4 linked regions of the Oryctolagus cuniculus genome follow. The protein of the gene in region 1 purifies or fractionates together with the protein of each later gene. This does not show direct contact. Links are inferred from orthologs where the notes say so. Each region holds a gene or a part of one and is shown on either strand. Other genes may lie near its edges. The genes, in order: USP49, CETN2, FKBP5 and CETN3.

Region 1 (8,011 bases):
CTTCTACTGCTTTCCCAGGCCATAGCAAAGAGCTGGATTGGAAGTGGGGCAGCAGGTACTTGAACTGGCGCCCATATGAGATGCCGGCACTGCAGGTGGCAGCTTTAGCTGCTCTACCACAGCGCCGGCCCCCAAGTGAAATACAAATTTTAAAAAGTGTGTGTGTGTTTTTTTTTAATCCCATGTGGGAGTACCTGGTTTTAAGTATCAGCTCTGGTCCCCAATTCCAGCTTCCAGCTAAAGCGTATCCTGGGAGACAAGAAGGTATTTTGGTCCCTGTCACTCACATGTCACCCATATGCCACCCACAAGGAAGACCTGGATTGAGTTCTCGGCTCCTAGTTTTGACCTGGCTCAGCTCAAGCAGTTGAAGGCATTTGGGGGAGTGAAACAGCTGTTGGAAGATCTCTCTCTGTTTCAGTTTCTCTGTCCATCAAATAAATAAAAATTTAAAAATTAAAGAAATGTCTGAGTATAACCTTGAGCAAATCACTTAATCTCAGGAACGCTGTATTTCACTACATGTAAAACAGGGATAGTAACAGTACCTTCCTCAGAGGACTGCTGTGAGGAGTAAATGATTTACAGTTTACGAAGTGTTTCATCAGTGTCTCAAACAGAACACAAGCATTACACGTGGATTAGCCATTATTATCAAGCTTATGAAGACCTAATGTCTTACCAATACCATAGCAAGCAGATATTTTCTTTACTCAAAAATTGAGAATGGGGAAAGATAAGAAATACAGATAGAGCATTATGTGTCTGCAAGTGGACGGAAGACAGACTCTCCAGAGAGACCATCATCAAGTGCTGAGAAAGATTATCTACAAAGGCTGCCACAACACTGCTGAAGATTTATAGGAAAACAGGATAAACTTTTATCTACCTGGATGATTTAAGTAAGATATTGACTGAAGTTGCAGGATAAACTAGAGGTTCTGTCAAGATCTCTTTCCATCCAAAGACCCTACGATTAACCAGAAAAATATTGAATTACGTACAACCTACCCATCCAAACCTGAAAAGATAAACTAAAAGCCCTTTGCTTTGCACATAAGATTTTAGACAAGATAAATTGGGTAGAATTTTACTTGATCAATAAATGAGAACAAAGCTTGAGTTTGTCATTAGAGTCTTTACTGAGAAATAGTATTATCAGAATGAAAAAAATCCATTTTTGGTTTTAGAAATACCAGTTGAGAACTAACCATTCACAACTAGAATCAGTGGTTCAGCACATATTGGTTCCATACAGGAAAAAAAAGGCAGGACCCATTCTATATTAGTTGACCTTATATTTTCTTCCTTTCCATTATCAAATAATTTATATAAAGATACTAGATTAAAAACAATTCCATTATTTAAAATGGCAGTACCATACATGCATAATACAACCTAGTACTAGTGTCAGACCAAACACATCTACAACAGGAGGGAATATGCATACACATTTCACAGAAACAGGTGTTTCATATCAAAGTTACTTTTCATCTTGAAAGTTAACATTTTCAGATTAATCCTCTTAAAACTTAGCAGCAAAACTAGTAATTTTTTAAAAGTCCCTGTTAAATTTCCAAATCAATCTGGTCACCTTGAACACATATTTAACAGAATCCATGAAACAAACCATGAACTAAATACTATGCCATGTACAGAGTCAGCAGCTGAATCCAGAAAGAGTTATGATTCTAAATTATTCACAAAAATCAATAACCAATGTTTGATATCCACAAATCAAAACCCAATTTTTGCTAACTGTGCTGCAAAGCTAACTTAGCTATGTATACAAGCACCCACAAAACAGTAAAATTTACACAACTCTGATGAAAAAAAGTATGTGTGTGCTTCTGAATATAAACTAATGAAATACTCCAAATAAGATTCAAGAGCAGTACATTTTTATCCTAAGTAAATTATGTGCTATCCTTTGTTTCCACCAAATGCAAAGTAATATTTTCAGCTAAATGTAAAAGCTTCAGAATAAAAATCACTAAAACTAAATACCAAGTAAGAATAACCTAAATTTTGCCCAAATTTCTTATCTTCCTTTTAATTTCCAAGTGTCCTAAATACCAAACGCTTTTAGAAAAATTAATAGTAATTAATACATCCTTCTTTATTTACAACCATAAAACAAGGGGGCAGTGGAGCTGTCCAAGCCTCCACTCGGACAAGGCTTGCAATCTTACAGGGAATTTTCTTCATAAAAATTTCTCATAAACTCATTGTTTAACCTAGGAGATAAGTCCATCACTCTAAAATTCCCCACCAATCCATGATTCTCCCTCTCATCATTCCATTTTGCTAATTCTACTATGGTATGAGACGTCCCACACAAAGCTAAAGGCAGCTTAGGAGCTCAATACCCTCACAGCCCTGATTTAAATCTCTCTCCCAGTAAACTTCCCTGGTTGGTTATTTGCCTTTCTCTAAAATGAGTTTTCAATATTCTCCAGCCACTGAAAACAACTCAGCAGAAAGCTGGTTGATTAATCGAAACAAAACAGATTCTCATCTTTCTCCATCCCAACAGCAGTATGTTCTCCATGGAAGATGAAAATGCTGTCGATAAAGCACTCAGCCCAAGCGCCTGTCAGGTACAATGCTGCTAAAATGCCAAAACTATCACACTACACAGGCGCCCTGTAAATAAACACAGCCCGTTCTCCTATTATGACAACACTGGTGAAATGCAGAGGTTTTCAACACCCCAGGCTCATGCCTGATCATTCACACAGGAACGAAATCAAATCAAAATGGGTCTCATGTTTTCAAAGTGGACGTGAAAGTCGAATCAAAAGCAATTAAAGGTGGAAGCGGATCTAAGATTCCTTGAAGAGAGAAAGAGGTTTCTGGAATTTCCTACTTTTAGGGACAAAAGGACTCACAGTTTCAACACACAGTTCCCAACAAAGAATTCCTTTCCTGCATCCCTCCCACCCCCGCCTCCGCCCTTACTTTTTAGCGTTCACCCCTGCCTCTAGGTCCCCTTTCACTCACCATGGTTCCTCCTCTTCTGCACAGGGGCTCCCTACACTGGGTCCCTCACGCCAGCCTTCCGGCCCTGACCCTCGCACGCCTTCTGGAGCCTCTCCCTGCCACACGCACGTTCGATTCCCGCCCTGCGCGCTCTACTCGAGTTCGACATCCATCAGGACTCCCCCAGTGTCCCTTCACCCGGTTCTCCGCCTCACTCCCCCACCTCATCCTCTACACGCGGGGGCCCATCTCACCCTGCCCCTCTCGCCGACTGCGTGTAGCCCTCTCCCCACCTGTTTTTTTTTTTTGTTTTTTGTTTTTTGTTTTTTTTTTTTACCGTGGATCCCGGGGAAGCTTTTCCATTAGCGTAATTCCCCAGTTACCCTGGTCCCAGACCGCCATCACTTCTTACACCTTTACTCTGTCGGCTTTTCTGGTCCCGGAATTGTCTTACAAAAACCCCATCTCTCATCAGCCTCTCGCCCTTCCACTAGGCTCTTACTCCTGCCCCTACCTGGTTCCAGTCCAGGGTCTCATTCGCCCTCCCTCACTTTCCAGAATGTACGCCCACTGCCCACCTCCTAACCCATACCTTTCTCAGACCCTCGCCAGCGGTCCCCAGCCCACCGCCGGTCCTTCAGCTCATCTCGCTCTGCACTAGTTCACACCCTTGTCACGTCTGGCTCTTAATCACTCTCTCTCTCCCTACTCCAACTACTGCTAACCCGGGGCTGCCCCTCCTTGTCTTTCGCTTCCAACTCCCACCCCAGCACCCCTCACCTCGATACACCCCCGCGCTTCCACCTAACCCCGGAGCCCGCCGCCCAGCCCGGATCTTCCTAACCCTGCCCGGGCTTCCCCGACGCCCACCCTGCTGTGTGCCTCCTGGGCTGGCTTTTCCTCACTCCTGCTCTCCCTGGCTTCTAACCCTTTCTCCCCTTAATCCTCATCTCATTCTTAGCCCGGTTCCCCTCAGAAGCACCCAAGCCTCCCCTCCGCTCTTGCCTCAAGGCTTGTACCCCAAACCCAATCGTAGCCCACCCCGCCAAAACGAAGGGCCCGCACGCCCCTACTCCCGCCCTCGCCTCCCGCCGGCCCCCGCCCCGGGCGCCCCCGGCCCGCCGGCGCCGCGGTCCCGCCCCCTGCCGCCACTCCTCCCGCCCGCGAGGCGCGCACCGCCTTTGTCGCCCCTCACCCGGTGTGTGAGGATTTTGCTTCTTTAAAGGGGAGGGCTGGAGTGCCGGAGCCTCCTGTCCCCGCCTCCGCGTGTTAGAATGGGCTCCCAGGCCGTCGCGGCCTCCCCGTCCCCGTCCCCGTCCCCCACCCCCCGGAGCTACCCCCTCCGCTGCCTGCCCACCGCCTCCGCCCCCTCGCCGGGCCCCCCTCTATTTACCGCCATCATCAGCACGCGCGAGCTGTCACCAGGGCGCGAGACAACCGAACGCGGTCCCGCCCCCTGCCCGCCCATTGGCCCGCCCGCCGGAGCCCCGCCCCTCGAGCCCCGCATTGCGCCAACGGCGCAGCGCTGGGCCCAGACCCCGGCACCGAGACTCTCCAGGAGGGTTCGCGCCCTGGGCGCAAAGTTTAGGGTCAGCCACAAACGCGCGGCCGGCAGGAGCCTGGCGTAAGGGACGGCGGCGTAGACCGGCGTTGTGAATCGCGGGACGAAGTTTGGTTGAAGCACAGGAGGGTAAATAAGAAGGTTTCCAGACAAAGAGACTCTTAAAGGTACAGAGTCTTATGTCCGCCCCTCCTCCTTAAAGGGCCAGACCCCCGAGACCATCTCCGCCCCCTTTTCCCCTGCCCGTCATTCCGGGGTACAGTACGGGAGTTTTACACGTACCTTTCGTGGCCCACCTTTAACATCTCTCCATACTGTGAAGGGGCAACGCCTTCCTCACTACCCTGTTTTTGTTTTGTTCTGGGAAAATACTTGCTCTTTTTTTTAACGCTGTCGTTCCCAAAGAATCAGCCAACGGCACTGGGAGGCTTCCTAAGATAGCGTTTGTGAGTTACTATTGGCTCCCGGGCGGGCGAGCACGTGTCGGACTTATGCCACTGATGACCCAGGCGGGATTCAGCTGTTTTATGGAAATCCCTCTGAGGACTAGGACTTCGCCGGTGAACTAAAAAAGTTCAGCAGATCAGGGGCTTGGGAAATAAACCAGACTGAGTTGGGAGTGGTCCCTAAGGACTTCTAGGGGACTGGGGATGGAGACGGCACAGCAGCTCTTTCTACAAAAGGCTCCCTTCCTGGTCAGTCTGTGGCATAAATTGCGGGGTACAGTGTAACACCAACACTGTTGTAACCAGACACATGGGAAGGCAAGTGAACATAAAAGGACAAGTGAAAGAAACATACATGATCAGCTCCAGTCGCTCAAGGCTACCATATGTAAGTATGACAGGGAAGCACCAAAGTCAAAGAACAACAAAGGTGGGAGGAAACCGCAGCGGCTGGGGCCAAGTTAACAGTGAAAGGACTTCTGAGGGCAAAGAGGTCTGCCTGAAGGGGAGAATGTGGAGTGGTTTGGTTTCCTTTGGTCAGGATTTGTCCTGTGGTTCAAGAGCTCAGAGTACTCCCTTTGTTGTCTTACAACCATTCAAAGTTCTTACTTTGTAACTCCTGAATTGTCTACTTGCCAACCTCTGAGAAAATTCTTGAAGAAGAGATTGTATCAAGGTGCTTTGTTCGGTGAAGAATTTTGCTGGCAGAAAAGTCATTCAAGGGGAACAAATTCTCAGTGCTTTGAGCATGTTTTTAGATCAGTGGTTCTCAAAAGTGTGGCTTGGGAAGGGAGCCCTGAGGATAACCGAGACCCTTTAAGGCAGCCACTGCGATCAAAACTATTCTCTCTGTGATGACATTTGCATGATGGTAAAAAAGTAACGGTAAAGTTGCTTCTACCTTAGCACAAATCAAGGCAATGATATAAAACGTACTGACACTGTAAAAACATATATGTTTCACTTAAGAAGGTCTGTGAAACTATATATTTCTTTAAACATTTATTTATTTATTTGAAAGGCAGAGTTACAGAGAGGCAGAGGCGGAGACAGAGAGAGAGGTCTTCCATCTGCTGGTTTACTCCCCAAATGGCCACAATATCCGGAGCTGGATCTGAAGCCCGGAGCTTCTTCTGGGTTTCCCACGCAGGTGCAGGGGCCCAAGGACCTGGGCACCTTCTGCTTTCCCAGGCCATAGCAGAGATCTGGATCGGAAGTGGAGCAGTTGGAACTCGAACTGGTGCCCGTATAGGATGCTGGAACTGCAGGCAGTGGCTTTAACTGCTACACCACAGTGCCAGCCCCAGTGTATATATTTTTAATAATACCACTCTCTCTGATCAAATGGATGGATGTATGCATGAAGCACTTCTGGGTATGATGTTTGCTTTGAGAAAAAATACATGTGTAATTTTTTTGAGTTCTGAGCTGAGTGAACAGCTTTCGTTATGGAACACCATTTTTACTTGGAACAACAGCTAACGGGTAACCTAGAGTTATTCACCAAGTATTTGGAAGACATTTTCTGCAAAGTCAGCAACGTTCAGCTTGACACCATTCTTGGCAAAGGTAAGACTCAGGCCGGAGCCGTGGTGTAATATTAAGCCTCTGCCTGTGGTGCTGGCTTCCATATGGTCACTGGTTCAAGTCCCAGTCGCTCCACTTCCAATCCAGCTCTCTGCTAATGTACCTGGGAAAGCAGCAGAGGATTGCGATTGCCCAAGGCTCCCGCACCCACGTGGGAGACCTGGAAGAAGCTCCTGGCTCCTCAATTCAGATCAGCTCAACTCTGGCTGTTGTGGCCATTTGGGAGTAAACCAGCAGATGCAAGACCTCTCTGTCTCTGCCTCTCTCTGTAACTGTCTTTCAAATACATAAAATCTTAAAAAAAAAAAAAAAAAAAAAAGGGCTGATAGTTATATTAACAAACAGGATTTGTAAAATATATATAATGAAATGTGTCAACATTCAGGAGATAAGCAGTATTGTTCAAATAACCCTTGCACGATGCTACAAAATCATGCATCAATAAAAGATCCATTCAAAGTATAAAATATTAAGACATTTATTTTGATATAGTTTTATATTCCACATACTGCAACTAATCTCCAGTGGAGTTTTAATGCAGTATCAAAGGCTATCCAAAAGATTATCAATACACTCCTCCCCTTTTCCAAATAATACACATCGATGTGAGGCCAGACTTTTGTTCATATTCTTCAGCCAAAACAACATATTACAAGAGATTGAATGCAAAAGCAGATATCAGAATCCAACCATCTTCTATAATACCAAATATTCAGGATATTTGCAAAATATAAATACCACTCATCACTAAAGTTCATCTAGAAAGTTATTTTTCAATAAAAGTATTTTATGTATGTTAACATGTGATGAGTTTATTGTTATTCCACTGATTCACTCTCCAGATGGCCACAACAGCTGGAGCTGCGCCAATCTGAAGCCAGGAGCCAGGAGCTTCTTCCAGGTCTCCCACATGGGTACAGGGGCCCAAAGACTTGGGCCATCTTCTACTGCTTTCCCAGGCTATAGCAGAGAGCTAGATCAGAAGAAGGGCAGCCGGGACTAGAAATGGCGCCCATATGGGATGCCGGCACTTTAGGCCAGGGCATTAACCCACTGCGCCACAGCGCTGGCCCCACTTTTTATTTTTAAAGATGTATTTATTTATTTGAAAGGCAGAGTGTTAAGAGAGAGAGGAAGAGATAGAGATCTTCTATTTGTTGATTCACTCCCCAAATGGTCACAACAGCCAGGGGCTGGGCCAGACTGAAGCCAGGAATTTGGAACTCCATCTGGGTCTCTTGGTGGCTGAAACCTAAGTTCTTGGGTCATTATCAGCTGCCTTCCCAGGTGCATTAGCAGGAAGGTGGATTGGAAGCAGAGCAGCTGGACTCAAACAGGCACTCTGCTATGAGATGCTAGCATAGCAAGTGGCAGCTTGCTGAGCTACACAACACCTGGCCCTTTCAATGCATCTTAAAAACATCACGAGGTTGTG
Region 2 (7,711 bases), on another chromosome or scaffold:
CAGCCGGGTCTCAAACCGGCACCCATATGGGATGCTGGCACTTCAGGCCAGGGCATTAACCCACTGCACCACAGCGCCATCCCCACAACACCTCATTCTTCAACATCCACCATAAAGCCAGGTCCTGAAGTTTCTATTACAGCCCAGCAATTCTGAGTCAAGCAACTCTGTTCTCTCCATTGCATCTAGAGTAACTGGCTCCAAAGTGCTGGCCAGGAGGTGCTAAAGGTCATGAAAAACCCAGGTATGAGACCAGTTTGGGTTCCTTCCCCTCAGTATTTCTCAAAAAGCAGTCCCTCTGCATGAGATATGTCTGCGCAACACAGTAAAGCCCGCACCCCTGGGTGCCTGAGGCCTCCAAGAGGCCAGGGTGTGGGGATGCTCCCCAGGTGGAGTTGGCAGTTCAAATACATACAGAATGCCCTGGTGAACTGGAATTTCAGATCAACAATGAGTAAACAACACAAAGTGCAAAAGAGATACACTTACACTAAAAAAAGTACTATTCATAAATTCAAATGTACCCAGGTGTTCTCATTCTATTAGTTAAATCAGGCAACCCTATCTCCAGGGGGCTAAGATGCCCCCAGAAGTTTAAAAGCCCTTTCCCACCCTCTCTACATGTGGATAACTGAGCATCCCATTTTCCATTCCCATTCTTGCTACCTACCTGGAGCAGAGGCTTTAATGCCATCCACCAGGGCTTCTCTTGCAGGAATCCTGTGAGAGGCCAAGAGGGCAACTGTCAGGACACTCAGCTCAACCCAACTTCAAGGGACAATGGACACTGCAAGCAATTAAACTCACCAGAGATTAGCTGCATCTGGCCTGTCACAGCAAACTGGCTCTCCTCAACAAGATTCTTTTTTCCAGACTTATACTTTGTCAAAACTCTTTGCAGGGCATCATTTAAGCTTAGGCGAAATGGAAAGTCTATGAGTTTTACAAACTCATGGATTTCCAAAGCAAGAAACAATCCATACCAGGAAATTAGCAAAGGACTATTCTGGTTTTATCCAAAAGGTTGTAAGTTTTGTATGTACCAAGCTGCCTTCAATGATACCTTAGAAGATGAACTCACAGTCAAGGATAAAGAACTCATCCTTAAACAAAAGCTCAGACTAAGAAAGGTTTTATTTTTAAGACAAAACAAATAGCATTAACATACATCCAAATGCCAATGCAAGAGTTCACTGGGTTTTATAAAATAGAAGATTACACTCTGGTATCAACTAGAAACTAGAACCACTGAAAAACGACCAGTGCTTCTGGTGACATGGGTACAACATGTGCTTGTCTAAGAAGTCGTTCAGTGTGCATCTCTGTGACATATATGACAAGAGCGAAGCAATGCAAGGCAAATGGAAGGTGGGCAATGCTTTAAGACCCTTTTCTCCGCTCCAATGTGCTCTTATTCTGCTTTGGAGAACTCAAGTAATCAGCAGGTCATTTTACAAAGAGATTGAGTATCAAAGAACACTTTAAAAGTCTGAAATAGATTAGAGGCCATAACTAAAATTATGTAGGGAGGTCAGTGCAGGAGAAAATAGTTTGTGTTCTCAAAAGCCAGATTTTACACAATGGCAGGCACTAAATCTAGTTAGGTGTGCTTGCAGTAGAAAAGACGACATGGATCTTAGTAAAGGCTGGTCTTTTTCATGATGCGCAGGAACTCTTGCTCATTGACTTCTCCATCTCCATCTCGATCAGCTTCATCAATCATTTCCTGCATGACAGTAAAGATTCAGAGAACATTAATTCATAAAATAAACAAAAAGGTGACTACATCATAGGCTTTAACATTGCTATTTGAATAGACAATTGTAGTCTACTCGATACATTATAATAACTTGGCTCTTGAAGAGTCATTGGAAAACCAAGTCATATTTTGTCATACATGTCACCTGGAAGGAAGTTCGAAGGACTTGACCAGAAGGACTCCCAAAACCTAAAACAGTAAATAAAACTGTACACACATGCATTTTTCTGGAAGCAGGGTCATAGGATTGTCAGACTATCAAAGGAAAGTTACGTTGTTAGCAAAGGGGCCAAAGAACAGTATCTTTCATTCAAAGAGGTTTTCCCACCAGGGAAAAATCAAAAGCAGAGAAGTCTCAGAGGGCTCAACGGTGGGAATTCACCGTTCCAGCCTCACACATGACAAACCTGTAGCTCCTCATCTGTCAGGTTCTCGCCCAACTCCTTGGCCACGCGTTTCAGATTTTTGAATGATATCTTTCCAGTTTCATCATCATCGAAGAGCTTGAAAGCTTTCAGAATTTCTTCTTTGGTATCTTTCTCAGACTTAACAAGTAGAACATAAAATGCATTATCAGGAAAACACCATGGTTACCCGTGTTCCATAGCCCCACCACTGCCCATTCCCCCCCCCCCCATTTACAACAATACAAGCCAAGAAGACAAAGAACAGAATTAGAGGCAGCTGCTGAGACACCTAGTGAACCTGACACTGCACATTGGCATGCTAAGCCCTGGTATTTTGCTGTGTTCTCCTGTTCAGAGTTTGCTCTAGTTCAAATGCCAAGGAGGGACTTCCAGGGGAATCAACTTCTTAGATTCATTCCCTAACCCTCCACCTTGCATTTAAAAATGAATGGTGTCTACAGTTTTTCTATTTGGGTTTATCACAGATATATCAGTTGGAAAAACAGTGAAAAATGACACTTTTGCTACTTTACAAAGGGTGAAATGACTTCATTAGTTTGTGACCTTGAAGAAAGCCAAAGAGAATTTAGGCTAATTCTCAGTCAAAAATACTATCTTTTATCAGATGAATTCTCCAATCTTTGTCAATTTTTCTCCAATTAGGTCATTTTCACATCTAGACTAGATAGATAGACTTTATCACTATTTTAAAATTATTTTTGCATTTACTCTAGATAGATAGACATTATCTATCACTATGAGTAAAAAACATGCTAATGGTTATCTCAGCTAACTTACCATTTTCTGAGTCATCACAGTCAAAAAGTCACTAAAGTTCATTTTTCCAGTGCCTTCCTTATCAATTTCACTTATCATTTTCTTGATTTCTTCTTTCTTGGGTTCAAACCCCAGGGCTCTCATTGCCACCTGTAAGGAAACAGGAATGTCTCAATATGCATATCTGAATCTAGCAGGAGCAAATATAAGTGTTGAGAATATTAAGCCAACATCTACCATAATAATGGTAAAATGACTACAGAATAAACATTGATGTAACTGACCTTTGTTGTCAATTTTATTTAGTAACACTTGGCATAATAAAAGACAGGAAAAGAGAGCACAAAAATCCCAGCCCTGTTAGTTTTTACAGGAAGGAGAGGGCAAAAGGGGTAGAGTTGTGACAGAGAAAGGGTAAGGAAGAAGCAGAGGTAGTATAGCAAGAACGTGCAGGGCTTACCTTAAGTTCTTTAACATCTATGGTCCCAGTTCCATCAGCATCAAAGAGATCAAAAGCTTCCCTGATTTCTTGTTTCTGCTCTTCAGTAAGCTCAGGCTTAGGACTCATCCTTTTCCGCTGGGAACTAGATGTTATGTTTCCCTTCTTAAAGTTAGAGGCCTGTAGAAATTATACGAACACATGAGCACACTATTATGTAATACAGTCCATAGTTACAGACACTGCTATCTCTTTTAAAACTAATTTATACCAACCAATTCCCAATTTCTGCTCAACAAGAGATAATGGGGTTTATTGGAAAGAATGAAACTTCCCGTGAAGCGCTCTCCCTCCCTTTTCTTTAGTAGTATTTGTTAGAAGCAAAGAGATCCCTTGTTCTTCGGATACATCACTCCGAGGCAGTTAGCTAAGGAAGTGACTGTAGATAACTCGAAGTGAGTACTGCCCTCCCTGAACGCGGGGATCCTGGCTCCAAAAACAACCCCTCGCGGTACTAGGCTTCCCAAGAGGTACTCTGACTTTCCGATTACTTCTGGATTTGGCCAAAGATTATTAAGTTGTTTAGATAAGTGTTCTGTCCATATCAAATAGTAAAACAATCTATTTGGCACCTTCATGCCCTCCCCAAGATGCTCAAAGCATCTCCGGAATGCCCATATTTAAATTGTAAAATACAAGTTAACAATCAGAACATAACAAAGCTCCTCCCAGGTGGGGGAAGTTTGGCAGAGAGAGGAGGCCAAGATCTGAAAGGGCCAGGATCTGAGAGGGGTTGGGCCCTCTTCTTTGCCTAGGAAGTCCCCGAGGCGGGTAGAGAAAGCCAGGGGGACCCGAGGGACGGGTAAGGGCCCGCTGTGCATGACGGGGAGGCTAGGGCGAAGCGCAGGCCCAGCGGGGTGGCTGGCGTGTCTACCCTTCCGGGAAAGAGCTCAAAGGAAGGATCAGTGCACTAAAGGTGAGCAAGAGAGTCAGTGTGGTGTGGCGGGGCCGCAGCCCTGAGAAGGACTCAGTCCCTGGGTGCAAGGCCGGACTGGGGAGCCAGCACTCACCATAGCCGACGCACTCCGCTGCCCGTTGTTACGGCAACCTACGTACACACCGACTCGGCGCCATTCCCACCGCCCCGCGCGCGCGGCCCAGCTCCCTGTTGGCTGCCGGCTCACCTCCAGCGCTCCCCATTGGTCTACGTCTGGAGTGGGTAGGGCTAACCTCACAAAGCCCGGGCCCAGGCGGGGGGCGGTGCGCTGGGAGGGTGAGACCTGCTCTCATTGGACAACATCACGCTGAGAGCTCCGACTGGCTGAGCCGACTCTAGGCCCGGCCAATCCGCTAGGTAGAAGGAGCTCGGCTGATTCTCAGCTCACACAGGCGGGGAAAAAAGGGTGGCCTTCCTAGGCTGGAGCTCGGTCCTTGTCGGCGGCGGGCTAGCTGAGATCAACCGGGGGACATTTACGGACCGAAGGGTAAGAGTCGCCACGTAGGCTTCGGAAGCCGCTTTGTATCGGCGACAGGGCAGGGCGGGCGAGCGAAGGACTAGGCGGGGCGGTCTGAGTGGCAGTGGTTTTCTGGTCTGGCCTAAGACTGAGTTAGGAACAAGGGCATCAGGAAGATCCCAGGACCTTCGTGTGGGAGCTGGGACTGTACTTACTCACAGGATAGCTGAGACCCTGACAGGGGAAGGGGCGTGCTGAGTGTCGTCGCAGAGGGTTTGACATCTGGCACGTAGACTGGTTGTTTGAGAGAATACAGCAGGTTCCAGGAGCAGCCCGGTACAGTGAGTCGGAGACCTTGACAATGGGTGTTGAACGACGTGAAGGAGGTTCCTCCTCATGCTTGTCTCAAAATACACTCTTTTTGACACAGACTCTCAAGGCAGTCAGGGAGGAGAACTCCAGGCCGAGACACCCTTGTGAGCAAAGTCACGGGAATTGTGGAAGAAGATCTCCAGGGGAGCATGAGTAATGGTAAGGGCTGACTTGAAACTGCAAAAGGACTGGAGTCTGCCCTCCTTAGACAGCTCCACGGGTCTCAGCTGCACCTACTCATGCGGCATTGAGGCGGTTATCTGGGGAGGCAGAGGACAGAGCAGAGGTTTCTCTGGCTTCAAAAGGCCTGAGGCATCCTAGCACATCTTAAGAGGAGTGTCTACTCTTTGCCCTCTTCCTCTTTACAGCAGTGAACTGGGTTCAAAACTTTGTGTTCATGTTTAACTTTCCCTGCCCTCTCCCCTGTATCTAGTCTCTTAAGTTCTATCAGTTCTGCCCATTAAATGCCATTTCTTTTCTCTTTTCCACCTGTATTCCTTTCTCAATTCTAGCATTCATCATCCACCTCCCAGCCAGTATGAGCCAGAGTTCCCACCATGGTCTGCTAACCTTGGTTCAACCTCCAAACTGCTCTCCTCCTCTGCCCTGGCTCACTGCGGTCCCCTTCTCTCCCCAGGACACTGGCTTCTTTGTTGGGCCTCAAATGCCAGGCACATTCCTGCGTTGAACTTTTATACCTACTTTATCTTCTTCCTGCTGGTCTTGTATCATTCACCCTTCCATGTCTTTGCTCAGCTTTCTTAGGCTACTCAAAGCACCTTGGTTAGTACTATACTCCCAGTATACATCTTCCCCATAGTACTTGTCGCTCTGTACTTATTTACTTCGTTCTTTGTTGCCCGTTCTCTAGAGAGCAGGCTTTCCAAGGGCACACTTCATTGTTTTGTTCACTGCTGGTGCTTCAGTGCCTGCATCAGACATGGAGTACACTGTAGGCAGTTTGGATGACTGATGAGAAGGCCCCTGCACCCCCAGGTTAAAAGCTGCCATGAATAGCTCTAGTCGGATCTACCCCTGCTCTTAAATCTTCAGAGGCTACTCATAACTGCAGAGTAAAACTCAGAACCTTCAGCTGGCCATATGAATCTCCTGCCCAGCTCAGCCCCTGCTAACCTTTTTAGCTTCATGTCGTTTCACACCATGCTTCCCAGTCAGTCTGTGGGGTGGCAATTTAACAAAGTAGAAGGGACAAACACAAGCTCTGTCCAGGCTGTGTGACCTTCGATGAGTCACTTGACCTCTCTGAGCCTCAATTTTTCATCTGTTGAATGAAATCAGAACTGTCTAACTGGATGCTTTTTGGATCTTAATGAGATAATGTTCTCCTGCATAAAAGGGTCTGACATTTAGTAGGTCTGTAGGCAATGTGAGTTCTTTTCTCAGATTTGCCCCCTACCTAGCATGCCTGAAGCCTTCAGCTTAGCTAGAATCCCTTGTCCACACTGCAGCCAAAACAACCTTTCTGATCATAGTACTTACCCCTGCCTACCACTTCCAGTGGCACATGGTCACTGCATGTTCTGAACTTTGCTCCAAATCTTGCATCACACTCAATGTGACACACTTTGTTACAGTTAGCAGAGCATGCTGGCTTGTGCCATCACCTTGCCCTTCCCACCCCTGGCTATGGAATGTCTAGGTTGCCTACACCCTCTTTAGCTCCTGGAAGGCCTCCGGTACTCACCTGACTCAGCAGTTACAGAGTTGCATAAGTGAGTCTCCCTGTCTCCTGCCCTGCACAGTGAGTCTCCGTAAGTGTAGGCACTCCTCTCTTCCAGGCAGGGGCCCCCAACCTTAGTGGGCCAAGATGGGAGTGAGAAAAAGCATCATGCAGTGTGCTCAGTGTTAGGGTGAGAGCACAAGCAGGCGCTGAGGAAGCAGCTCACCTCTCCTGGGGAGGGCGAGAAGGCTTCACTGACAGGAAGGTGGAGCTAGGCCATGAAGGAAGAGGGGGCCAGAAGGTATTCCAGGCAGAGGGAACAGCATATGCTAAGCTCACAGGCCTGCTGATGAGCTTCCAAGTGGCCCGCCCCAAAGTCAAAGCTAGGGACTTTTAAAGTAACCAAACAAGCACATACAAACCACTGACCAAAACACAGGGACGTGGCAAGTGTGTGAAAGGATGAGGTTGAGCTGGATTGCTCCAGCGTAGTAAGGGCTAACCTAAGACCTCAATGATAATAACCTGTGTGTTTTTCTCCCCCATATCGCATCTGTGAATTCTCAATGGGAGGCCTTGCTTTTGTTTCTACAGGACTCCTGCTTTGCAGTGTTTTCTGAAAGAAAGGTATCCATAATGAAGTTTGTGTCTGTATTGGGCAAATCCTACCCTTTATACTAGATTCTCAGACCCAGTCTTGTGCAGCTTGACAGGAGAAAGGGGAATCCTCTTTCAGAATCCCAGGCTTAGTTCCCCATATCAGGAACCCAACAAAACATCTGAAAAATGCTACTTTGCTTTCCTTGCCTAGCCAGACTCTAC
Region 3 (7,712 bases), about 5.8 Mb from region 1:
TCCCCAAATGGCTGCCATAGCCAGGGCTGCGCCAGGCTGGAGCCAGGAGCTAGGAGCTTCTTCTGCGTCTCCCATGGTGGTGCAGGGACCTAAGCACTTGGGTCATCTTCTACTGCTTTCCCAGGTGCATTAGCAGGGAGCTGGATTGGAAGTGGAACAGTCGAGACTCAAACCTGCACCTGAATGGGATGTTGGTGTTGCAGCCCACAGCTTTACCCACTGTACCACAATGCTGGCCCCAGATCCTTATGTCTTAACTGCTAGGTCAAATACCTACCCCCTGTTGTACATATTGTGAGACACAATTCTGCAATTAATTTATGGTAAGCAATTAAGTATCTATATTTTATAATTCTGAAACTATCTGGACTTTCTAGCCTACTGATTAGTACTTAATTTTGTTTTTTCAATATTTTATACTTATGAATTGTTCTTTAGTACATTATAGTGTTTTAAAATTCTGAAATTACATCCTTAAAAGTATAAAGAAAATTCTACCTACCTATACCAGAGACTGGGTGGATGATAGTATATAAATCATATAATTATTGAGCCGGCGCCGTGGCTCAATAGGCTAATCCTCCACCTTGCGGCGCCGGCACACCGGGTTCTAGTCCCGGTCGGGGCGCCGGATTCTGTCCCGGTTGCCCCTCTTCCAGGCCAGCTCTCTGCTATGGCCAGGGAGTGCAGTGGAGGATGGCCCAGGTTCTTGGGCCCTGCACCCCATGGGAGACCAGGAAAAGCACCTGGATCCTGGCTCCTGCCATCGGATCAGCGCGGTGCGCCGGCTGCAGCGGCGGCCATTGGAGGGTGAACCAACGGCAAAGGAAGATCTTTCTCTCTCTGTCTCTCTCTCTCACTGTCCACTCTGCCTATCAAAAAAATAAAAAAATAAAAAAAAATAAAAAAATAAATCATATAATTATTGATTTAAAACAGTAGTGACCTAAGTGTGATTTAATTTGCAAATGAAACTTTTATTTACCTTGTAAAAAATCAGCCAAATGAGGCAGGTTAAAAGAATTTATAGTAGGACTATATGTATTAACAAGTTACTGTGGCCAGCGCTTTTGGGCAGTAGGTTAACACCCGGGCCTGAAGCGCCAGCATCCCATATGGGCGGTGGTTCAAGACCCGGCTGCTCCACTTCCCATCCAGCTCTCTGCTATGGCCTGGGAAAGCAGTGGAAGATGGCCCAAGGACTTGCACCCTCATGGGAGACCCAGAGGAAGCTCCTGGCTCCTGGCTTTGGATCGGCGCAGCTCTGGCCATTGCGGCCAATTGGGGGTGAACCAGTGGATGGAAGACCTCCCTCTCTCTCTGTGCCTCTCCTCTCTCTGTGTAACTCTGACTTTCAAATAAATAAATAAATAAATCTTTTTTAAAAAAGTTACTAACAGGTTGTAATTATCAGCACTTAAAATAATTGTGTGTGTATGTGTGTGTAACTCTGCCTTTCAAATAAATAAAGTAAATCTTAAAAAATAAAAATGACATCAGGGGCACCTGGGTTCAGTATCTAGTCCTGACTTCTGGCTGCACCTTCCTGATAATGAAGATCCTAAGAGGCAGCATTTCTGGCTCAAGTGATTGGGTTTCTGACACCCAAATGAGAGACCTGGACTGAGCTCTGGGCTCCCTGCTTCACTAAGGTCTGGTCCGGCCTGGCCCAGCCCAGGCCGTTGTGGGCATTTGGAGAGTGAGCCAGCAAACGGAAACTCTCATTCTCTCTCAAATAAATATACTAACATTTTTAATGTGTTAAAATTGTTTCAGATGAAAATGTGATTTTAAAAAATAAGTACAATATAGATTCTTCCTTAGGAATTGTGAAAAAGTATATTAAAAGCTTATGGAGGACATTCCTAATAGCAGGTACAAAATGCATGTTTCTATTAAATAAAGCAGTATTGATGTTTGTAACAGTGTTTTTCAATCTGTCTTTTGGATTTAGCTAAAGTCCTTGTTTTTTTGTGAAGTTATTCACTTAAAAATATTTACCACTCGCACCACCAGCCCCCAATCAAAAGGAGCCGTACCTGAGGGTAACTGCTTAAAAAAAAAAAAAAAACCTGCCAGTGTTTATTGTGAGAATTCAGCTTGTGCTTAATTTTGAAGATAAAATGTGCTTGATAAATTAAAGTGAACAAAATTCAGTAGTTAAAATATGCAAAAACTGAATTTTAAAATAGGTTTTAATTTTAAGGTACGTTCATAATTAAAGTACCTAAAATATACTTTTGTGGAAACAAACTTACGAGACATAACTTGACGATATTTGGCATATTAAAGCACCATCACAGGATAAGGACAATCAACGCTCTAACAGCACAGCACTTAAATGTATTCCTTTACACTAAAGAGCAATTAAATAAATAACGAGAGACAATGAAAGCCCAAGTGTCATAAAGTCCTTTATAACTTTGTAAAGGCAAAACCCATTCTATGTGAGGACAAGCCACTGTTCTTTCTACCCTTCCTAAGCATCCGAAAGCCAGCTCAGCTTGTACAGCAATAACTTCTGCGGGTGTACAAAGAGGATGTTCTTCTCCGGACTAATCCATTCTAAGTAGAGAAGCCTGCAGGAAACTAAAAAGCCTGAAACATGGATTCTTTTTCCAATTCAAGAGTAAACAGAAAATTAAAGACTTAATTAGTTGCCTAATTCATTAAGTTTTTCATGTTGAACTGATAACAATTGTTTTAAAAAAAAGAAATGCACTCAAATTTCCCATAAATAAAAAAAGTTAAAGATTCCAAAAAACATACCTGTTTTACAAAATGCTGGAAAGACAAAGCCCTTACAACATACGTGGGAAGTTCAAAAAGTTCACGGAAAAGTGGAATTAAAAGATGAATTTATTTCAGTACAAAACATTCTGAAATCCAGACACAGTTTCTTCATAATATGCATTTCTGTGAACTTTTAAAGACCCCCGTTATCTAAGTTTATTGCTTCAGAGAAATAAAACAATTTATAAAGATCATCTTTATTTTTTTTTTACACTGAAGTAGTCACAACTTTGGCTGAAGAGTTCTGACCTCTTATTAACTGTTACATAATTCTAATTAGCAAGGTAAATAAGCAAATTAAATCAAAGTTAATAACGCTGCTCCTAGGCAGTCAAACATATCCACTATGTGCATCAAACAAGACGCTTTAAAACATAAAAACCGAGCACACCAGATCCCGTGTGTCTCACAAGTGACCTAATTTTAGAAATACAATTGTATAGCATGCCCAGGTTGGTCAGGGCTAAGTGTGGCGGGTTAGGCAGGGGTCGGGAGGCAGACACACAAACGGAAACGCTAAGGGAAAGTACGACAGGACAAAAAGCTCCCACCAGGGTAAGGCCTTTTTTCAGGTCGACCCTTGGAGTTTGACTCCCATCCCGAGAGAGGCAGCTCCTCTGACTCTCTAAAGCAAAGACCCCCAACGCGGGGGCAGGGGGGCTGCAAACCCCTACCCCGAATCCGCCCTAACTCTTCCCGGGTCCCCCATCGAACAAGGCGGGGAGACAATGAAAGCAAACAGTCCAGGTCAGAGAGCGAAGAAAGCTCCCATTCAGAGCTACGCCTCACTCCCCTGGAAAGCACAGCCCAGAAAGCGAATCCAAAACCACGGACTGCACGGCGGCCCGCGGAGGGCAGCGGGGCTCTGCGCGCTCCCCTTCCAGGCTGTACCTGCCCGAGCCGTCGCCGCCGCCGCCGAAGCCGCCCCGCACAGGGCGGCTGCGCCCGGAGCAGGCAGCCTGCAGCGCCCGGGTCCTGCACGCGGCTTCTGCAAGCCGTCCGGGGCGCACGCCTCCCGGGACGGCCGGCAAGGCGGGCGGACGGAGCCGCAAGCGTCCCAGGACCCACCCCGGCCGCAACTCTCGGCCCGCACCGCAGAGTGCGGGTCACCTGTGAGCGCGGCGCGGCGCCCGCACCCCGCCGAGGGGCCGTGCGGCTCCCAGGCACGAGCGCCAGGGCGGCAGGTGACGGCGGGGCACGCCCGCGTCCACACCCAGCGGGCGGCCACCCCGCGCGCGGCCGGGGCGCTCCGTTATCCTCGCCCTCCGCGGGCCCGCCAGGTGAGCGAGTCTCCATCGCGCCCGCGGCGTCCTGGCGCTCGTCTCAGCCCCGGGCTCCAGGCCTCCGGCCGCCCCGGTCCCGGAAGGCCAAGTTGCGCTCCGGCCCGCGGCTGCGGCTGCTCGGGCGCCGCCCGGCTTCTCCGAGGGTCCCGCAGCGCCGGGCCTCGGGCGAGTCCGGGTCCGCCGACGACAGCCGGAGCCGGGACCTGTCACCCCGGGCGGGAAACAAAAGCCGAGTGAGGGCGAGCGGGCGCGACCGGGAGGGGGAGCGCGGCGCGGGCGGAGAGCGGCTCCCGCGGCCCCCCGGAGGGAGCCTCGGCCCGGCGGCCCCCGCAGTCGGGCTGGGAGCCCCCCGGGCGCTCACCTCGTGGACTTGCAGCCCCTCGCGCCACTCCCTCCCGGGCTGGGGAGCCGCGTGAGGGGCAGCGGCAGAACCTGAAAAGAGAGAATTGGGCTCTCGGGACCCCGCGGCCGCCCCACCTCATCCCTGCGGCCATGGCGCCGGTACCTGTCTCCACAGTGCCTGGCCAGCTCCTGCTCTCTCCGCCTCGCCCGCGCGCCGCTCGCCCCTCAGCCCGCCCAGCAGGCAGCCCGCGCGCCGGACACCGCAGTCCGAGACTGGCAGCGCCCGCGAGCCGGCCCGAATCCCCAGGGCAGCGCCCGGCATGGTCCCGCCCCCGCCGGCCGCAGGACCCCCCTTCCATAGGGCCCCGGGGCTGTCAGTCCGCCCCCAAAAGGCGCGCGGGCTGTCGCTCCGCGTGTCCGGATTGGTGGCCGCGCGCGGTCCATGCAAATAAGGCCCCGCCCACGTTTATTTGCATCTCCGCCCCCCCACACTAGCCCACGTGTCTGGCCCTTGCCCTTTGTGGGGGCTGGAGAAAATGGATGGAGGAAGCTGACCGACACCCCCTCACATCAGCCCTTCCCTCCACAGAAACTAACGCCCAAGCAAGATCGTTGACCCCACTGCCGTACCGTGTCTGTCTGTCCTGCGGGCCTGGTCTGTGGCGGGAGAGGGGTCAGGTCGGGCTGTTTGCGTTAGATTAGCAGTCCAGGTTAGCTCCAGGACACTAACTCGGGAAGCTAGAGATGCTAGGTCGGACCCGAGAACATCCCGCCTCAAGAACCAGGTGAGCACGCGGCACCTCCCTTGGATACCCAGGGACCGTGAGAACCCTGCGGCCCCCACGCTGTCCCCCCCCGGGGGGGGGGGTGCAGGGGCGGCGGGGGGCCTTAGGGAATCTTTAGCTCAGCCCCATCATTTTTGAAGAAACAGAAACCTGAAGTCTCAAACTGGGGACCTATGGGACATGATAGTTGCCTATGGTAATCTGATGTCCCCTAATCAGATTAGAACCCGTGTCTCCTGGCTTTGCACACTGTCACACTGAAGTCTTTGTAAAAGGCCCTTCCCATAAACCAGTCACCATGCTGCCTGGTGCTTCAAGATTTGGAGGTGGGTAGAAAGTTGGTGGCATTTGGCGGAGAGGTTAAGGCACCAGGTCCCCCAGGAGTGGTAGGATCCATACCTGGCAAGGGCTTCCCTCCCAATTCCAGCTTCCTGCTAATACAGACCTTGGGAGGCAGCAGCAATGATGGCTTAAGGGGTTGGGTCCTCGACACTCACCTGGAAGACCTACTTTCAGTTCCTGGTCCAGGAATGTACTGGCTTGCTCTCTCTTTCTCTCCCTGCCTCCCTCCCTCTCCAATAAATAGAAATAAAAAGTGATATCTGTAGAAAAGGCAAATAGAGTCAACCCTGAGACCTCCTCAAGGATCCTTATCTCAGTCATTGGTCCTCAGTGTCTAGAAGCGTCTCTTTTTTGCCAGGGAGAGTCACTGAAACCATTTATTCATGCATTAATTCAGATAGTGTCGATCAAAACTACTCTGCATATTAACACTGATTCAGCAGGCATCTACCATGCTTAAAAAACAGCAAGTATTCAGCACCATGCTATGTGCTGGCTATGCAGCAGTGAGGAGGAATTGCCTCAGCTCCAAGAACTTCACTTTAGGACACAGGGACATCACGTTGAACATCTGAGTGTTCTTCACCCGGCAGGGGCTGAGATGGGATCTGCACAGGGCAGCGTGGAGGGCTCCCGGGAAGGAGGGGTCCCAGGATTCTTTTCCTGGGAGAGGCAGAGGATTCATTGAAGGGGTGACACAAAACCTGGCTCTTGCCAAAGAGAGGGGTGTAGACAGGGAAGGAAAGGGAGTCCCAGCAGGGAGCATGTGTGTGTTGAGGGGGCAGGGGTAGCATGAGCAAAAAAGCGCACAGACCTGGGAAAGCCCAGTGGGCAAAGGCAGGGCGAGGAGCAGTGGGCAGGTCTGCAGGGCCGTGTGGACAGGTCACATGCTCCGGGACCGGGCTCTTCCAGGAGGAAGACAGAAAGGCCGGTGAGGCTGCCAGGCTATGTTGTAACACACCGCGGCAAATAACAACAGGCCCTGTAGATACAGCTGCAGCCTTTTTTTTTTTCCCTCTAGGCCAGAGTCTGTGGGGAACACTCAGTTCCATAGTTCAGATAGCAGCCTGGGTGGCTGCACCCACTCCCCCAGAAAACCACTCTGGTCACCAGGCTTGCCCAGGATCCTTTGCATTTGGAAACATGTTGCTTGCCTTTCAACTAAACCTCGCTCCCCTTCAGAACTCAAGGCCGCAGACACCTGGCGGGTGTGGGTGGGGGGTGGGGGAGGAGGTGGTGTAGCCCTTTCCTAATGCATGGAGCCAATCTGTGCAGGGCCTGTCACTGAGGCTTGGTGTCATGGGTGTGTCACAAGGGCCCAAAATTTAGAAAGGACCTGTGCTCGGATTAATGCTGTTATTGATCTCTAGAAATTCTTAGTAATTTTTTTAACCAAGGGCCTTGCATTTTCATTTTGCACTGAGTCCTGCAAATTTTGTACCTGGTTGTGCCTGTCACCATCAGTGTGCCTGGGCCTGCTTGTCCTGCTGCTCAAACCACATCTCATTTTTAAAGCACTTGGCATGCACTAGGCCGGTTCGCCTGCCTGTGTCGCTGGATTCTCACAGTGGCAACGCGGGGAAGGTCAGTATGCCTTTCTGTTCTCATTATTCGAGAACACTGAAGTTTGGCAACTGTTTCCAGGTGGCACTAGAAAAGGGCAGCACTTGGACCTGAACTCAGCCCACAGAGCCCCATTGCATTGCTGTGGAGCTGTCTCCACTTTGGTTTCTGGTCCTTTCAAAGGCAGCTTTGTACATGCAGGATTCGCTAAGATCAGAACAGGTGGTGGGGTGGACATCTGTCCTTTCATGGCCACCTAGCACCTTTTGAGTAGCTTTTCATCAGTTTTGAACCATTTTCAGCCATTACGTATTCAAATACTACTTCTGTCCCTTTTCGTCTTCCTGAGCTCCACTGAAACACGTGTTAGAACACGTCCTTCCTTTCTTTTGTGTCTTCCTTCGTTTGTCCTTCCATGCTTTGTTCTAATGAGTTTCTTCTGTTTTTTTCAGTTCACTAGAATTCTCTTTTCAGCTTAAAAAAATCTTTTGAACTCATCCATTGAGTTCCATTTGGTTAGTCTGGTTTTTAGTTCTAGAATTTCCATGTGTCTTTCTTAGATCTGTGATGCTGCTTCCTGTGTCTCTGTACCCTGCCCTAGCTT
Region 4 (7,938 bases), on another chromosome or scaffold:
TAAGGCCTTGTCACCACCACTCTGCGCTCTGAGGTCTCCAGGTCCAATCCGCCTTCCTTCTGCTTGGTACTGAAGCTGGAAGACCCCCGCTCCCTCCTGCTGGCCACACCTCTCTCCCTCACAGGTGCTTCCTGGCCTGTCCCACGATGATAATCCTGTTATCCAGACCTCGGAGGACCAGAAGGGACACAGCTGGCGGTCATGTAATACCAGCTCAAAAGTCACTTTCTCAGAGACCTTCTCAAACCTCCACTATTTAAGCTCTGGTCACCCCTGTTGCACGTTCCTGTCTCAATTTCTTTGTAGAATTTGACATTGTACCCTTTACATTTTTAATTTTTTTTCCCCGAATAGACTTTTATAAAGTAGCTTACAGGTATCTTTTTTTTTTTTTTTTTTTGATAGGCAGAGTTAGACAGTGAGAGAGAGACACAGAGAAAGGTCTTCCTTTCCATTGGTTCACCCCCCATATAGCCGCTATGGCCAGTGTACTGCGCTGATCTGAAGCCAGGAGCCAGGTGCTTCTTCCTGGTCTCCCATTGGGGTGCAGGGCCCAAGGACTTGGGCCATCCTCCACTGCCTTCCTGGGCCACAGCAGAGAGCAACCGGGACAGAATTCGGTGCCCCAACCGGGACTAGAACCCCGGGGTACTGGTGCTGTAGGTGGAGGATTAGCCTAGTGAGCTGCGGCGCCAGCCATATAGTGAACCTTTAAGTTAAATATATTTTGATTCAAAATATGAAAGTCTCACTTTAATTTCCAAGTGGACTGAGTGTTGTCCAATAGAATTTCTTTAATTTTGCATTAACAGAATTCGTGAACAAGGTATACTAAATTTAGTACAGAAGGACAGTAGCCACCTTCTCCTCTTTTCATTTCGACTGTGAAAACACAGGGACCGCAGTCAGTTCACCTTTCCTATACCATTTCTGAATTTGCTAAAGATATACTATAGCAAAGGAAGAGTGCTGAAAGATAGGTAGTATGAGAAATGGTGGTGGTTGGGGTCAGTGCCAGTTCTAGTCCCAGCTGCTCCTCTTCCTTTACCCGTTACGCCACAGCACCTGCCTCCACTCATGTTCTTTAAAAATAAATTTTCTATTTTACTTTTAAAAACATTGGGCTGTATAACTGTGCTGAGACAATACATTTGTCTTGCTTTTTTTTTTTGTTTCCTGTTTTTAAAAAATATATTGTATTAACTATGTCTTAGGTTGAGTTCTTTAAGGAAGTGACTGTGAGATCTGCATAACTGGGGTTTACTGGGGCAGCGTCTCAGAAACAAGACCTGTGGGGACTGACAGAGGCAGAACTGGGCAGAGGGAACAGGGGCGCTGTGATGCAGTCAAAGCAGAGGCCTCAGCCAGCTCTACAGGGCGCCATGATGTTGGAGAAGCCCTTCCCCTCAGAGTTCACCTGGATTGAGGCCAGGAAGCCAGGCTCTTCCCTTTCATATTGGCCTGTCTTTGGATAAATTCTGCCTCCAGGGAGACTTTGTAATCTGGCTGAAGGCACCTACTTTTGGGAAAGGGCAATTTACCAGGAGGAACTGAGCTGGGTGTTTTCAGCTGCCCAAATTTCTGGAAGCTGGGGGAATAGGTTCTTTGGTTCTGAAGACAGGAAGGCGGGTGGGCTATAGCACTGACTACAGCCTGATAATGCATTATTTTAGTTTATGTCATTTTAAAGCCATGGTATTCTTACTAACCTTTATTTTTAAAAAGAATTTCTAGTTACATTAGTTTTTCTTTTACAGTGAAGAAATATTTCTTTATCAACTCACTGAACATATTTAAGTTCTCTTTATCCATTTCTGTCTATTGGTTGGAATCCATTCAGCTTTTCTTCCCTCTAGGCCTACTCCATCAATTTATTTTAAATCTCTCATTTTTCTTTTTTCATTGATTTAGGAGGTGTATTAATTTTCTATCATTGCTATAACTAATTACTATAATTTTAGTGCCTTAAAACAACACTTGCATACTATGTTTTTTTTTTTTTTTTTTTTTTTAAGATTTCTTTTATTTATTTGAAGACAGAGTTACAGAGAGAGGTAGAGACAGAAAGAAGGGTCTTCCATCCGATGGTTCATTCCCCAGATGACCTCAACAGCCGAAGCTGTGCTGATCCGAAGCCAGGAGCCAGGATCTTCTTCCGGTCTCCCATGTGGGTGCAGGGGCCCAAGGATTTGGGCCATCTTCTACTGCTTTCCCAGGCCGTAGCAGAGAGCTGGACTGGGAGAGGGGCAGCCGGGACTTCAACCGGTGCCCATATGGGATGTCGGCGCTTCAGGCCAAGGCTTTAACCCACTTCACCACAGTGCTGCCCCCCCGCCCCATTTCCTTTCTAGCTGTTGGCCAGAGGTCATCTCAACTTTTAGAAGCAGTCCATATCTGATTCTATAGATTTCCTGTGCAAATTATTTCTGTGAAATCCATTTTGCTATTATTATATCTTATAATCATTGTTCTCTCAAATGTGATGATCAGCTACTTACTGAATTCTTTTTATCAATTCCAATAGCTTCTTTGGTATTCTTGGATTTTCCAGGTGTTATATAATTCATACACAATGTTAATTTCATGTGGCACTTCTTCCCCTTGTTTTATTGCATCATTCATGAGAATTTCAAGGATAATATTGATAACCATTTTAATGGTTTCTGTGGCAGACTTGCTAATCCCATTTTATGTTTAGTAACAGATGGTATGACCTCATGTTTTATCAGGGAACATGGCATCCAAACTAGAGAGCTCTTCTCAGCCTCCCTTACAGCAAGCAAGTAGTGGCCATGTCACTAGTTTCCACGGCTTAAATGTGAAGAGAAGTGATGCGTGTGACTTCCCTATCATTCCCTTAACAGGGTATGGCACTGACGACATTTGACCTTAACAAGTAAAAACACATTTTCCCAAATTACTTGTCCACAGTGTCATTCTCTATGAAATGACCATAAGCATCTCACAAAACTCTAGTGTTCCGGGGATCAAGGTTGAGAAACCCTAATGTTCCATTCTAAGTGTGTTATTCAGCATGGTAAAAAAAAAAAAAAAAAAAAAAAAAAAAGCACTGTCCATACCTGCTTTATTAATATGTATCTTAGAATGAGTAAGGGATATTTTGTCCTTGAGATCATCTCGGTTATCTAGCATTATGATTATTTAATAGATTTATATGTTGAATTCTTCATAAACACACTCTATTTAATGATAGCGAACTGTGTCGTTAAGAGGACACCAAACGTTTTGCTAACATCTAGGACCCAAAGGAACATCAACTGCAGCCAGCCACTGGGGACACAATGAATGACGTGCATAAACTCGGTCGCAAGTGAGCCTGCGTAGGATGCTGAGGGTTGGGTTGGCCGCAAAAATTAAGCTCACGTCTCTGAGAGCACCTGCACCGGTCTCCTCCCCGCCATTCCCTACCTGGGAGCTGTCCACACGCCGGCCCGCAAAGGATTCGGGGAAAAAGCAGCTGGCCAATCTAAGGGGCCGGAGGGCACGGGAGAGGCGGGCACAAACGCTCCTTTGACTGACGCTAAAGCCATCCAATGAAAATAGGGCGTAGTGCCGAGCGGGGCACAACCTTAGCGGGTTTCGACCAATCCCGCTCAGAAGTGTCTGTCTTCTGGGCGGGGCTGGTGGTGGCAGCGGCCGTTCGCGTCTGTTGAACGGCTTGTGGGAGTCCTGCTGCTTCGGGCCAGGGCATAAAGTCTCTGAGAGGAACGTGTCTGTCCGGGGAGGAAAATGAGTTTAGCTCTGAGGTCGGTAGTCGTGAGGCGGCCGCGCTCCCCACGCCGCGGAGCGGGCCCCGGGCGTGCTCGCGTGCGTGTGTGGGTGTGGAAGGGAGGCCGTTGGGGCCGAGGTGAGGAGGGGGCTCGCCGGCCTGCCAGCCCCCAGCCCCCCGGGAGTGCAGAGCCCTGCAGGTGACCGGCCCGGCGCTCGCTGCCGAGGTGGTCGCCTGTGGCCGCGCACGGGGCTTTCGGCCTAGGGGGGTGGGCCGCGGGCGTGCGGTGCTGCGACCCCGCCCACCTGGCCCCCGCACCGCTGCCCACGGAGTCGCTCGCCCGTGTGCCCCCGGCCCCGCCGAATCGGAGACCCGCCCGGAGTCGGTGTCTTCTGTCCCGACCCTAGCCCTCGGTCTGTGCCCCACCCCACCCCCCGTGTCAGATAGCCTTGAAGGCAGGTGCTCAGAGACTGTGTTCCGCCACGGGTGGCCCTGGCTGCGGTCAGGTGTGGGCGGGGTCCGGACTTGCCCGCGGGCAGTCCGGGCAGGGGAATGGCTGACCCCGGCTGTGCCCAGGTGTGTGTCCACTCGGGTCTCTTGGGGAAGGTCTTCCTCAGCTCTGACGTACTGCACCTGCTGTCATTTGGTAGCCATCCCTATTGCCTTTTTTTCCCCCTTAAGATTTCAGAAACCAAAATAAGTTTTTTGTTTGTTTGTTTTTTTTTTTTTTTTAAAGATTTATTTATTTGAAAGGCAGAGTGAGTGACAGAAAGAGACAGGGAAAGAGATCTTGGATCCGCTGGTTCAGTCCTCAAAGGGCGTCCATGGTTGGGGTTGGCACAGGGGGGAGCCAGGAGCCCTGAACATGGCAGTTCACCTGAACATGCCACCCTCCTGGGTGGCAGGGGCTCAAGCTTTGGGGCCATCTTCCGCTGCCTTCCCGGGGAGCAGCTGGGACTCAGGGTTTGTGTTCCTTGGACCTGAGAGGCAGCCCTACCTGCTGGGCCACGATGCTGCCCGCCCCCCCCCATGGCTTTCACATGCAAATAAGATGATCTGTTATGAGACAATCAACTGGTTTTACATTTAGAATTTTTAAAACGTGTTCTTACAGAATTGGTGTTCTCATTTGAAACTCTGAAGCACTTCTACATCTGTCTCAGATGGAAGACATTCCTAACTTCCAAATAATTTTGCTTTTCATTTTCTTTACTCTTTTCCAGAGTTATGAGAAGTTTGACCTATAGTTTATAAGTTAAATGAGACAAGAATTTTCACATTTTTTGGAAGTAAGCACAAATGCTACATACCACTTTTTGATCTTTTAACATTCATGATATATTTAGACTCACTGCTTTGTTGGCTGACATGTTAATATTGATGGAAGAAACTACAAACAAAGTACCTAGATGTGATCCAAAATAGTTTTGAACTTACAATGCCAAAATATAGGTTAATTGATAAATTATTTGGCACTTTTTTGTAGTAATCTTGAAAACTTAATTACAAGAAATATACTGAAGTATAATAAATATTTATGTTGATTGTCAATTATGAATTCTACTTTGATTTGGATTTTTTTCCACTTTTGCAGAATGATATAAGTGTTGATTTGGTTTTGATTGAGGTTTTTGGTCTGAAAGTAATATTTCTGACCATTCTTTTTTTTTAAGGTTTTTTATTTATTTATTTGAGAGGTAGAATTATAGACAGTGAGAAGGAGAGACAAAGATCTTCCGTCTGTTGGTTCACTCCCCAGTGGCCGCAACGGCTGGAGCTGTGCTGATCTGAAGCCAGGAGTCTGGTGCTTCTTCCTGGTCTCCCATGTGGGTACAGGGGCCCAAGGACTTGGGCCATCTTTTACTGCTTTCCCAGGCCACAGCAGAGAGCTGGATTGGAAGAGGAGCAGCTGGGACTAGAACCAGTGCCCATAAGGGATGTTCGCACCACAGGTGGAGGATTAACCTACTGCGCCATAGTGCCAGCCTCCTCTGACCATTCTTGTTTCTGAGTTGGGAGGAGGGAAGGTTTGGTTCCCCCCCCCCCCCCTTTTTTTGAAACGTATATGAAAGAGTGACAGAGACAAAGTCAGAGAAATCTTCCATCTCTGAATGGCCGCTATGGCTGAGGCTGGGCCAGGCTGAAGCTAGTAGCCAAGAACTCCATTCAGGTCTCCCATTTGGGTGATTGAACCAACCACTTGAGCCATGCCATAGTTGTCTGCCTTCCCAGGTGCATTAGCAGAGAGCTGATTGGAAGTGAAGCAGCTGGGACCTGAACTGGCACTCATGTGCGATGCCAGTGTGGCAGGTGGTGGCTTAATCCATTGCATTGTGACAGTGGCCCTTGTTCCCCATTTCTGTCAGAGTTTCGGCTTCATACTGGGAAGTGTACATTCATAGAACTGTGGACTATGGAACAAGCAGGATGTCAACTCATACAGAAAAAATACTTTATCTTTCTTCAACATATTTCCTTTTTGGAAATTTAGAAAGTTGTTGATTGTTTAGTTTGCATAAGAGAATACGATTAGAGTGGACTAATGACTTTTTTGTTTCCATTTTATAGAAGTGAGCTTGTAGTAGACAAAACAAAGAGAAAAAAAAGAAGAGAGCTCTCTGAGGAACAGAAACAAGAAATTAAAGATGCCTTTGAACTTTTTGATACAGACAAAGATGATGCAATAGATTATCATGAACTAAAGGTAAAGTATAAAGTATATATTTATCTGTTAAAGTGATTTGCATTTTTGACAGCTTTAAAATACATTTATTTTATTTATTTTATTTTTTTGACAGGCAGAGTGGACAGTGAGAGACAGAGACAGAGAGAAAGGTCTTCCTTTTCCTTTGGTTCACCCCCCAATGGCCGCTGCGGCCGGCGCACCGCGCTGATCCGATGGCAGGAGCCATTTGCTTATCCTGGTCTCCCATGGGGTGCAGGGTCCAAGGACTTGGGCCATCCTCCACTGCCCTCCTGGGCCATAGCAGAGAGCTGGACCGGAAGAGGAGCGATCAGGACTAGAACCCCGTGTGCCGGCGCCGCAGGTGGAGGATTAGCCTATTGAGCCGCGGTGCCGGCCAAAATACATTTCTATATAATTATTGTAACTGAACTGGTTTTGGAACTATGAAATCTTTTTAAGCATTCGTAGTTAGGTGCTATAGTAAAACAGAACCCCTAATGCAGTTGTATGAAAACGTTTTTGCATGGTAAAGTGAATGATATTTTAAATGTAAAAATACATTCCTATGAAAGATGGTTATTTTTCATTCACAAAAGTAATGGATTGGAAGCTATGGAATTTAAGCAGCTCTTATCATTATCATTCTTCCTGTTGGTTTTATTTAGATTTTGGTAACTCATGCTTTTTTTTTTCATACTGGGAGAGTGGGTTTTTAAGCTTTTAATTTAAACATGTTAGTAACACAATCTCAACCTACTTTCTGTAGTGCATGCATAATAAGTTGTTTGATGTTGAACACGTGCTAATGGAGAAAGATGTCAAATTCAAGGCTTAAAATTAGTTGTGGTGAGACACCAGCATCTTACATGTGTGCCAGTTGGAGTCCCAGCTAGCTGCTCTACTTCTGATTTAGCTCCTTGCTAAGACACTTGGGAAAACAGTGGAAGGTGGCCCGAGTACTTGGGACCCTGCACCTATATGGGAGACATAGATGGAATTCCAGGCTCCTGGCCTAGCCCAGCCCTGGTCACTGTGACCATCTGGGGAATGAACCCAGGATGAAAGATCTGCCTGTCCCTCTCTCTCTGTAACTCTGTCTTTCAAATATAAATTTTTTTGAAAGAAGTATTATTTATTAAAGATCTAAGGGGAAATTGGTATTTAAGGTTGTGTGGTTTTTACATTCAGCACAATTTGAAAAACAGCACTTTTGAGATTTTTAGTAGCCTTAATGGGTAGGTGAATAACTATCAATGTTCGTTTTGCGGCTTTATTTCTGGTAACTTTGTAAGGGATTTTAAAGGATTTCAGGTGGGGTAAGACATATGTAATGACAGGTTGGGATGTACGTGTGAAAGCAATACTAGGTGTGTTAAGTGCAACTTCCTTAGTCTTGCAGTCCTCTCTTTTCTCACATTTTAAAGAAATTACTCATTTGAGCAATTCTTCCATTATAGTGTCTCTGCCATTTGTTGCCATTGGTGTCTTGATTTGTGTGGGGCTATACTTCGTTCCTGGAGCC

Evidence for each region.
Region 2: the proteins of USP49 (region 1) and CETN2 purify together in Homo sapiens (affinity purification with mass spectrometry; 3 studies listed by BioGRID and IntAct, with this or other methods). This does not show direct contact. The link is inferred for Oryctolagus cuniculus from reciprocal best matches to the Homo sapiens genes USP49 and CETN2.
Region 3: the proteins of USP49 (region 1) and FKBP5 purify together in Homo sapiens (affinity purification with western blotting; 4 studies listed by BioGRID and IntAct, with this or other methods). This does not show direct contact. The link is inferred for Oryctolagus cuniculus from reciprocal best matches to the Homo sapiens genes USP49 and FKBP5.
Region 4: the proteins of USP49 (region 1) and CETN3 purify together in Homo sapiens (affinity purification with mass spectrometry; 4 studies listed by BioGRID and IntAct, with this or other methods). This does not show direct contact. The link is inferred for Oryctolagus cuniculus from reciprocal best matches to the Homo sapiens genes USP49 and CETN3.

What each region holds. Positions count from the first base shown.
Region 1 is NC_091436.1:128,001,965-128,009,975, reverse strand, and holds the start of USP49 (ubiquitin carboxyl-terminal hydrolase 49), read right to left. Parts: upstream 4,434-8,011; 5' UTR 4,376-4,433; intron 4,358-4,375; exon of another isoform or gene 4,178-4,357; intron 3,545-4,177; exon of another isoform or gene 3,004-3,544; intron 971-3,003; exon of another isoform or gene 890-970; intron 1-889. UniProt on the Homo sapiens protein: Deubiquitinase that plays a role in several cellular processes including transcriptional regulation, cell cycle progression or innate immunity.
Region 2 is NC_091453.1:131,265,963-131,273,673, forward strand, and holds CETN2 (centrin-2), read right to left. Parts: upstream 4,236-7,711; 5' UTR 4,021-4,235; coding exon 4,015-4,020; exon of another isoform or gene 3,658-4,014; intron 3,563-3,657; coding exon 3,404-3,562; intron 3,094-3,403; coding exon 2,965-3,093; intron 2,305-2,964; coding exon 2,167-2,304; intron 1,727-2,166; coding exon 1,637-1,726; 3' UTR 1,117-1,636; downstream 1-1,116. UniProt on the Homo sapiens protein: Plays a fundamental role in microtubule organizing center structure and function. Required for centriole duplication and correct spindle formation. Has a role in regulating cytokinesis and genome stability via cooperation with CALM1 and CCP110.
Region 3 is NC_091436.1:133,766,268-133,773,979, reverse strand, and holds the start of FKBP5 (peptidyl-prolyl cis-trans isomerase FKBP5), read right to left. Parts: upstream 4,747-7,712; 5' UTR 4,582-4,746; intron 1-4,581. UniProt on the Homo sapiens protein: Immunophilin protein with PPIase and co-chaperone activities. Component of unligated steroid receptors heterocomplexes through interaction with heat-shock protein 90 (HSP90).
Region 4 is NC_091445.1:13,136,118-13,144,055, reverse strand, and holds the start of CETN3 (centrin-3), read left to right. Parts: upstream 1-3,607; 5' UTR 3,608-3,750; coding exon 3,751-3,767; intron 3,768-6,298; coding exon 6,299-6,434; intron 6,435-7,938. UniProt on the Homo sapiens protein: Plays a fundamental role in microtubule-organizing center structure and function. As a component of the TREX-2 complex, involved in the export of mRNAs to the cytoplasm through the nuclear pores.